2 linked regions of the Caenorhabditis elegans genome follow. The protein of the gene in region 2 interacts with the protein of the main gene of each other region in a pairwise test. Each region holds a gene or a part of one and is shown on either strand. Other genes may lie near its edges.

Region 1 (3,102 bases), 8.3 Mb from region 2:
CGCCTTTGCGCGGAAATTCAATTTTCAATTTATTCATTTTTCAATCAATATGAGAGTTCGGATTTGAAAAACTAATTCCACGTGTAATTTCAAATTTTCAATACAAGAGTTTGCAGTAATTTTAGGTGAAAATACAAAATTATAGTTTTCAAGTTTTCTAAAAATTCACATTTGAAAAAAATGACGAAAAAATGACGAAAAAGCTTGTGCAAATTTGGCTCCTTGTGTGTGTGTGTGTGTGTGGAAGGTGCGTATGAAATAGCACTCTAGTCACGAGAGACACAGATAATGAGTGGGGAGAAAGCCGAGGAATATAGTGGGGCAAAAGACGGCAAAAGAAGTGAAAAGGGGAAGTGTAGTGTGGCGGCGGAAAGAGGACAGTGGAATTGGAATAAACAGGGTTTTTGTAAATGTTGATGATCAGAATCTGCTGTTACAACAACACATATAGTTATTTTTTCCGGGCGTTTGTCGTCGACAGTTTCGAAACAATTAATCCGATTAAATCTAGACTTTTTTTGGAAACACGCTCTATTGCTAAAAGGCTTGAAAAATTGGTTTTATGGTTTTATTCAAAAACTATTTATTTCAGAAATTAACATCCTTTATAAGTGAAAATATTCTTGGGTGTCTCCTCAATTGTCACTTTATACAAAACCGATGGATTCGACATTACGGATTTCAGCTTCTCGAACATATAAATTGCCACGTTTTCAGATGTGCTCACAGTTGTCTGAAATTGGAAAAAAGTATTTATCTTGGTTTTGAAACGCGAAATTGCGGTCTTGGGTCCTTCCGAAATTTTTTATGATAACAAAAAAAATTTAATTTAGATTTTTTTCAATAGCAAAATTCTCGAATCTTTTAAACAAAAAACATTTAAACCATACTAGATGGTACTGTAGCTGAAAAGTTTCGCTCGTGCCAAGACCCACACTTTGAATAGCATTTTTAATGACGCATAATCTGTCTACAGTACCTTAAAAAATTCCACGTCTTTATCCAAATTCCTGTGATCTACCGTATCCAGCACTAAACTCATTTCTTTTTTCAGCTTTGCCAGGTCATACACCATTCCACTCGTCGGATCAACTTCTCCGCGGAGCTTTACCTGAAATTTTTCGAAATTATTTTTATTTTATTAAAAAATAAAATTTTTAAACCTTCCAAACATAATTATGTCCATGACCATTTGAATTATTGCATTTTCCAAAAGTTTCCTTATTTTCAGCGTCGCTCAGCTTTTCAGAGTGAAGACGATGTGCTGCGGAGAACGAATCGACTCGTTCCATAGTTACAATTGGCATTCTGAACATTCAAATAATTTATTTTATTAAAAAAAAGAAAAAAATGGAGAAAAATGGAAGAATTATGTGTGTTCAACGAATAATTTATATACTGGCGCTGGTGTTTGCAAATAATTGATTACAATTATGATATGATTGTCATCGTCTCTCTTTTCAACTAATCATCTTATTACGACAGCAGGATTATAGTTTCTGCATCAAAATACGCAATAATTTCAAGCGAAGGATTACTGTAGTCGTGTTAAAATTTTATATTCGGAGAATTTTGAAATTTTAAATAGAAAAAATAGTGCAAAATATTTATTTTCAATTTTAATTAGGTGATTTCAAAACAATGGACTGATATTTATTAAGTTTTCACTCAAAAAGCAAATTTCTGTGCCTGTAAACTTTTTCAAATCGAGGCATGCGCCTTTAAAAACTACAGTAACCCTTGTCCGCGAAAATTCGAAATCAAATTCATATTTCATCATTTTCACTCATTCTTCTTCGTTTTTGTGCATTTTTTTTCCGAATTTTCGATCAAAATTTTGATTTTAAACATTATTTTTAAACATTCCGTATCTTATTTTCAGAAAAATCACAGCAAGACGCGAAAAAAACAAATTTTAAAAGAGTTTTGCGTGGAAATGCACGGATATCAAGGTATTTCGTCAATATATTTTCGCTCAATTAATTCTAAACAATAATTATTTTTCAGGCAATGATCCGAATTATCGGCGGCAACCTCCCTATCGCCAATTACACGTTGATACACGATCTCCGTCGAGTTACTCTCAACAATATGTTGTGAGTGAAATTTTAAAAAAATCAATTTAAAGTCATCATTAACATGAAGAAACTGTTGATTGGGCACAAGTTAATAAAAAATAACTAAGAAAACCAGAAGATGACGTCATCTGACCGTTCTCCGCACTTTTCATGGTCAATCTCCGATATCAAGAATTCTCATCTCATAATGTCTGCCGTCTCTTCAAAAATCTACATTATCTCATACATTGTCCTCCTAGAAGGTGTCGTTGTGGAGGGAGGGGAAAACGAGGGCGCCCATATTGTCGGGCGCTCCTTGAATAAAAAATGTACGTTTTTTTGTGCAGACTCTCCACGCTTTGCTTCTCCTTTTTCTTCATATTGTACATATATACGTATATTTAATGCACAATGTCTCTGCGTCTTGGTGCCCTTCGTCGTTTTTTTTTTCGCTGGAAACCACCCCAGGAACCGCCACCGCCACACCACTACACCGCCCGTCTTCTTGTTCATGTCTCTGCGTCTCGTGTTTCTTTCTCTCTCGCAACGAACTCTCTATCGATTGGTCATGTCGACCTCCGTCCGTGTCCTCCGACTTGGGGTCCACTTTTTGTCTGCGTCGCGTATTCTAGCGTACTGTGTCACTGACACTCTTTGTTTCTTATTCCTCCACGTCTCGATCAGTGACAGGGACTCTTGTAGTTTTGGAATTTGATTTTTTTTAATTCTCGGATTTACGAAATTTTTCGTTGATGTTTTTGTTTGAATTCGAAAACTCCACTCAAAAAACTATTTTTTTCTATTTTGCAACTAAAAAACGGCCAAATTATTTTGAATAACCAATAGGTTCCACCATTTTGGCATACAGTTTTTCATTGTTTCGCAATTTGAAGCATTATGCGTCACATTTTCAGATTTGTTTTCTGTAAAGTATTAAATTATTGATTTTTCCGCCAATTTTAGAATTTCGGCGAAATTTTGCCGGGTTATTAAGTTTAGATATCTAAAAATGTGGCGAAAGGTGTTTCAAATTAGTGATATAACA
Region 2 (5,236 bases):
AAAATTGTTGGAAAATGAATGTAGATTTTTTTTTGTGCTTTTTTGGTAGGGTTACTGTAGTTTATGAAAAATTGAGGTGTAAGTTTTTGAGGAGGTATTGGGTTGGGAGCTGGTGGGGGGCAATGTTCAGGTACTGTAGGTATACGGTAAGGTTACTGTAGTTTGGAAAAAGTAGATTTTTTATTAATTTTTAACATGAAAATTGTAATTTTAGAGTAGTTTATATAAATAAATGGTGGCAATTTTAATTTCTCAACATTTTCGATTAGTCACTTTTTTAGGTGGCATTTCCTCAAAATGTTGAATTTTTAAGCTAAAAATTGTAACTTTTCTTTAATTTCTCAACATTTTCGTTTATTTACCATATTTTACGAAAATTTTAATGTAATTTCTCCAGAATTTTGAACTTTTCCAACCAAAAAAAATAGATTTTTGATTTGTTTTAATGCTTTTAAAATGACAAAATATGAATTTCTGAACATTTTAAATTATTCACTCTATTTCAGGTGAAATTTCCGAATTTTGTGGCAATTTTAATGGGATTACACCGAAATTTTGAAGTTTTAGATGAGAAAAACTGATTTTTTTTCTAAATTCAAGAGTGTTTCCATCCAATTTTTTATAAAAAATTTAAGAAATTTGATGTTTGTGGAATTTTTATTGCAATTTTGAAATTTTACGCAAAAATTTCGGTTTTTTTGCGAAAAATGCGCTTCCAAAGTTATTTTTCTTCCATTTTGTGGAATTTTTGCAATTTTTCTTCAAAACAATTCATAAAAACCCTAGATTTTTATGATTTTCTACTTCAAAAACCCAAAAATTCTAAAAAATCTACCTGATATTTCAAATCCTTTCTCAATTTTCCATTCATATAATTCCAAACTTCGATAAATCCGTCTTTTGAGCCAGAAACAAGATAATTAGCGTCCGGTGAGAAAACTGCCGATTCGGGATAACTTTCTGAAAGAATTTAGGGTTTAAAAATGGAAAATTTGATATTTTCGGTAATTTTTGGAATTAAATCATAGTTTTTTAATTAATTTTCTAAGATTTCAGGCGATTTTTCATTCAAACCCCCGTTTTTCTTTTAAAAAACCCATAAATCCCAGTATTTTTCGATTAAAAAATCAATTTTTTGTTTAAAAATCCCTTTATCTAAAATTTTGACAAAAAATCTCTAAAGTTCAGAAATTAATTCAATTTTCAGATTTTCAAGTGGTTTCACTCGAAAAATTAGATTTTTCAATGTAAAAATGCTTGAAAAATTCAAATTTGATATTTTAGAAAGTGGTTGACTGGCTACAAAATACAAGTTTTTGAGTTTTTTCTGAATTTTTGTTGAAAAAATACAGACTTTAGGTCGGATTTTTAGATTTTCGAATTTCAGTGCAAAATTTTGAGTAAAAAAAACTTAATTTTTTAATTTTTAATTTTTAATTTTTTTTTTTTTTTTTTAATTTTTTTTTTTTTTTATAAATTTAATTTCTGAAAATTTTATAAATTTAATTCTGAAAAAAAAATACAATTTTGGTCCAAATAATAGTAAATTCGAAATTTTACTCAAAAAATCGAAAATTTAATTGATAGAGGCCTAGACTACAAACTACGAAATTCAAATTTTCTGGATTTTTTTCAAAAAAAAATATTGTAAAAAAATTAATAATTAAGGTCGGAATTCTAGATTTTTGAGAAACCGCCAATTTTTATATTTATTTTCGAATTTTAGGGCATCATTTTGCAATTTTTGATTCCTAAAAAAATCCTTTTTTATAGGAAAAAATTGAAATTTTACAATATTTTCTAATCATTCACGCTATTCTTTGAACTTTCACAATGAAAAAAATTCCAATTCTCAGAAAATAGGCTCAGAAATCTAATTTTAAGTCGGTCAAAGCTTAAAAAATGCACTTTTTAATCAATTTTTCAAATTTTAAAGCAATTTCAATCCGTACTCGTTGAGAATTTAATGCTTCTAGCCATCATAGTCGGATATCTTTCTTCAATTTGCTCTTTCTGTGCAGCTTTTCCTCTAAATAAATCAATTGCAGTTCCAGGTGGAAGAAGTCCTTGATGAAGTTGCCATTTAAGTGATTGTCCAAGTAAACTCAAAAGTCTTGACGGAGCAACTACATGAACTTCTGATGAAAGAGTTTGTGCAATTACGGAGCGTCGTTTCTCTTTACTAACATCTCCATAAACCTCTTGTCCATCGAAATACGGGCGGTTGATAAGAGATTCCAGGCGGGCGAATCGATCCGGATCAATTTGTTTTAGCAAAATCATTGGATCAGTCTGACGGGCGACGAGACGGGCGGTCGCCAGCTCACGGAGCTCCACAAGCTCGATTATTACCTGAAAATTTGAAAAATTTACGAGGAAATTGTTTTTTGTACTAAATTTTCAGGAAAATCTACAATTTGAGCCGAAAAGGTGAAATTTTATTTAAAAACTGCAAAATTTGGGGTTAAAATCTGGCAATTCTGAAGAAAATTCGCTTAAAAACGCGATTTCAACGTAGTTTTTGATTTTTTTTTTTTTTGTTTTACAGCGTGAAATAATGAATATTCAACAATTTTTGGTGAAAATCCCGCGAAAAATTCAATTTTTCAAGTAAAATCTCGGTTTTTTCCTTCTTTCCCATATCTTACATGTTCATACAGATCGATAAGTTTCTTGGCGGGTAATTTCAACGATTGAACGGTTTTCAACACGTTATCCCAATTTCCAGACGTAATTTCATTACAAAATCCATCAATTGAGTCGACTGTATTGAGCGAAACGTTGGTTTCTTCCTGAAATTATCGATTTTCTTTCATTTTCCCAGTTGAAAAATGCAGGAAAATACCTGCAAAATCGCCAGAGTTCGGTGCAAATTCGATTCTTTGAGGAATTGTTCGATGAGACGGATTACACTGAAAATATCGAGGATTAATGATTTTTGGGTTATTTTAAATGAATTTTTACACATTTTGAATGAAAAACTTTTTAGATAAACTTACTCTGAAGATTCGATCTCAATCGATGACATTTTCAGCGAAAATTCGGTGAAAAACGGCTGAAAATGACGTGTAAAATTCGAATATCCTCGGACACGAGAAGTGCGCCAGCCTTTTTGGAAGCGATCGGCAAATGCGCCAGCACGAGCGCTTGGCGTGTTTTGCGTTTTTGGAGCGAATTTCAAATTGGAGTTTTTTGTGGACTTGCATTTGTGTTTAAACTCTTTTTTTTTCAGAAAATATTTTTGCCTGAGATTTTTTTTCATGCACAGTTACAAAAAACAACAGTTTATCCGTTAAAAATCGATAAAATTCCAGAGATTTTTGCTTGACTACGTTAGTTCTCAAAATCCACAGTTTGCGTACAATGCATTTTATCAGCACGTTTTTCTGTTTTTTACAATTGATTTTTTTCCAGCTCCATTTTCTTCAATAAATATGAAAAAACAGGACGACATTCTTTATTTTTTTAAAATAAATTCTTATTCTCACACACGCACACCGGTACTTGTGTTCGTATGAATAGGTTTTTTGAGATTAAAGTATAAAATTTGAAAAAAAAGTTTGAAAAAAAAGGAATTATAATAAAAAGTGTGTGAGCAGGGGCTGTCGTCAGGAATACTGGGGGACTGGGCTTGTGTGTGTCGTTCGTTGGAGCTACCTGAAAACAAAAAAAAATTATTCCAAAAATTTCACTTTTCATTTGATTAACAACATTAAAATCAGTTGCTTACCTCAAAAATATGTGCTTGAATTGAACCAAATTTTAAATATCAGTGAGCTCTTCACAATTTGAAATCGTCAAAGCCTGACGTGCTCTGAAAATTATTGAAAATTCGAAAAACTGGAATTTCCACCGAAAACCGTACCACTGTATCAAAGGCGCGTTTCTCAAATCCAGTAAAACCTTGTCCAGCCAGTGAATCGAAAGCTCTTTTGTCAAAACCGCTGAAGCCGGATCCGGCTAGCGAGTCAAAAGCGCGTTTGTTGAACGCACCGAAGCCACTTCCCGCCTGAAAAATTTGGAGTTGTTTGGAGAGGAAAGACTACAAACTACAAACTACAAACTACATTTTCACCAAGAGCTTAACCATATGGGCACGTGGTGCCAGGCTGTCCTATTACGGTTTGATCTACAAAAATGCGGAAATTTTTCGCGCAGAAAAATGTGACGTCAGCACATTCTCAACCATGCAAAATCAGTTGAGAACTACGCGTCACTTCTCCCGCATTTTTTGTAGATCTGCGTAGATCAAACCGAAATGAGACACTTTGAAACCAAGTGTAGTTTGTAGCATGAAAAAAATTGTTAAAAATCTGGACTTTGCTCAAAAACCGTTAGAAATATTTTTAAAAATTCGTCAATTGAAAAATGTTTGCTTCAAAATTTTAAACATTTTTAACGAACTTTGGAACAGCTTTTTCTAATCGATCACCGAAAAAAGTTAGGCAGTAGGCAGACACACACGCCTGATGGCTTAAGGCCACCTTCAACTCACCAATGAATCAAATGCTCTTTTATTGAATGCTCCGAAACCTGAACCAGCAAGACTGTCGAATGCTCGTTTGTTGAATCCATTATCAAAACCACTTCCAGCTAACGAATCGAATGCTCTTTTCTCGTGAGGTCGATTCAGGAAGAACAATGAGCCAACTGGACGTAGTCGGACAGCTGCACTTTCCACTGTGGACATCTGGAATTAAAAACTATTTGAACCTTTTTAAATGTTAATAAAATAACTAGTTTTGCCTAAATTATATAATGTAGAAAAAACTAAGTTAGTATACTATTGATGCAGTATTACAGAATTATATGTCTTGAATTCAAATAGTGCTCAGCTAACACAGTTCTGTAGTTTGTAGTGTCTCCCTTTCACCCTCCACCAGGACCCCCCTAGCCATCCCAATATCAACGAGGGGCCCCCCTACACATGTTTATGTCTATGTCATCATGATGCCTGGCGAGTTTGTTGGCACTTTGTAATTGGAAAATTTCGTTTGACGCACTTCTTCGCTTCCCCGTTTTATTTCGCGTCATTGGACACGAGATGTGATACATTTTGTTTTTTTATTTTTTGGGAAGGAGGACTCACAAACTTGGGTCTTGACAAGAAGAGAGGTGGATTAAATAGTATTTACTTCAGTGATTGAAGAGGATTAGATGTTGAGGAAGTTCCGAGAAATGTCAGGATGTTAGGAGGACATAAGACACGGCATAAATTTTATGGTACGAAATATAG

What was found.
Region 1: the proteins of smu-1 (region 2) and ptps-1 interact in a two-hybrid assay, tested with the Caenorhabditis elegans proteins (one large-scale study listed by BioGRID).

What each region holds. Positions count from the first base shown.
Region 1 is NC_003279.8:4,651,591-4,654,692, forward strand, and holds ptps-1 (Putative 6-pyruvoyl tetrahydrobiopterin synthase), read right to left. Parts: upstream 1,317-3,102; coding exon 1,164-1,316; intron 1,112-1,163; coding exon 980-1,111; intron 734-979; coding exon 596-733; 3' UTR 555-595; downstream 1-554. Other genes in the region: ain-2 (ALG-1), read left to right, coding at 1,937-1,952, 2,008-2,096. UniProt on the Caenorhabditis elegans protein: Involved in the biosynthesis of tetrahydrobiopterin, an essential cofactor of aromatic amino acid hydroxylases. Catalyzes the transformation of 7,8-dihydroneopterin triphosphate into 6-pyruvoyl tetrahydropterin.
Region 2 is NC_003279.8:12,993,681-12,998,916, reverse strand, and holds the start of smu-1 (Smu-1 suppressor of mec-8 and unc-52 protein), read right to left. Parts: upstream 3,115-5,236; 5' UTR 3,029-3,114; coding exon 3,000-3,028; intron 2,913-2,999; coding exon 2,846-2,912; intron 2,793-2,845; coding exon 2,649-2,792; intron 2,353-2,648; coding exon 1,953-2,352; intron 961-1,952; coding exon 836-960; intron 1-835. Other genes in the region: nlp-15 (Neuropeptide-Like Protein), read right to left, coding at 3,782-3,814, 3,866-4,009, 4,496-4,690. UniProt on the Caenorhabditis elegans protein: Involved in pre-mRNA splicing as a component of the spliceosome. Selectively regulates alternative splicing of unc-52 exon 17.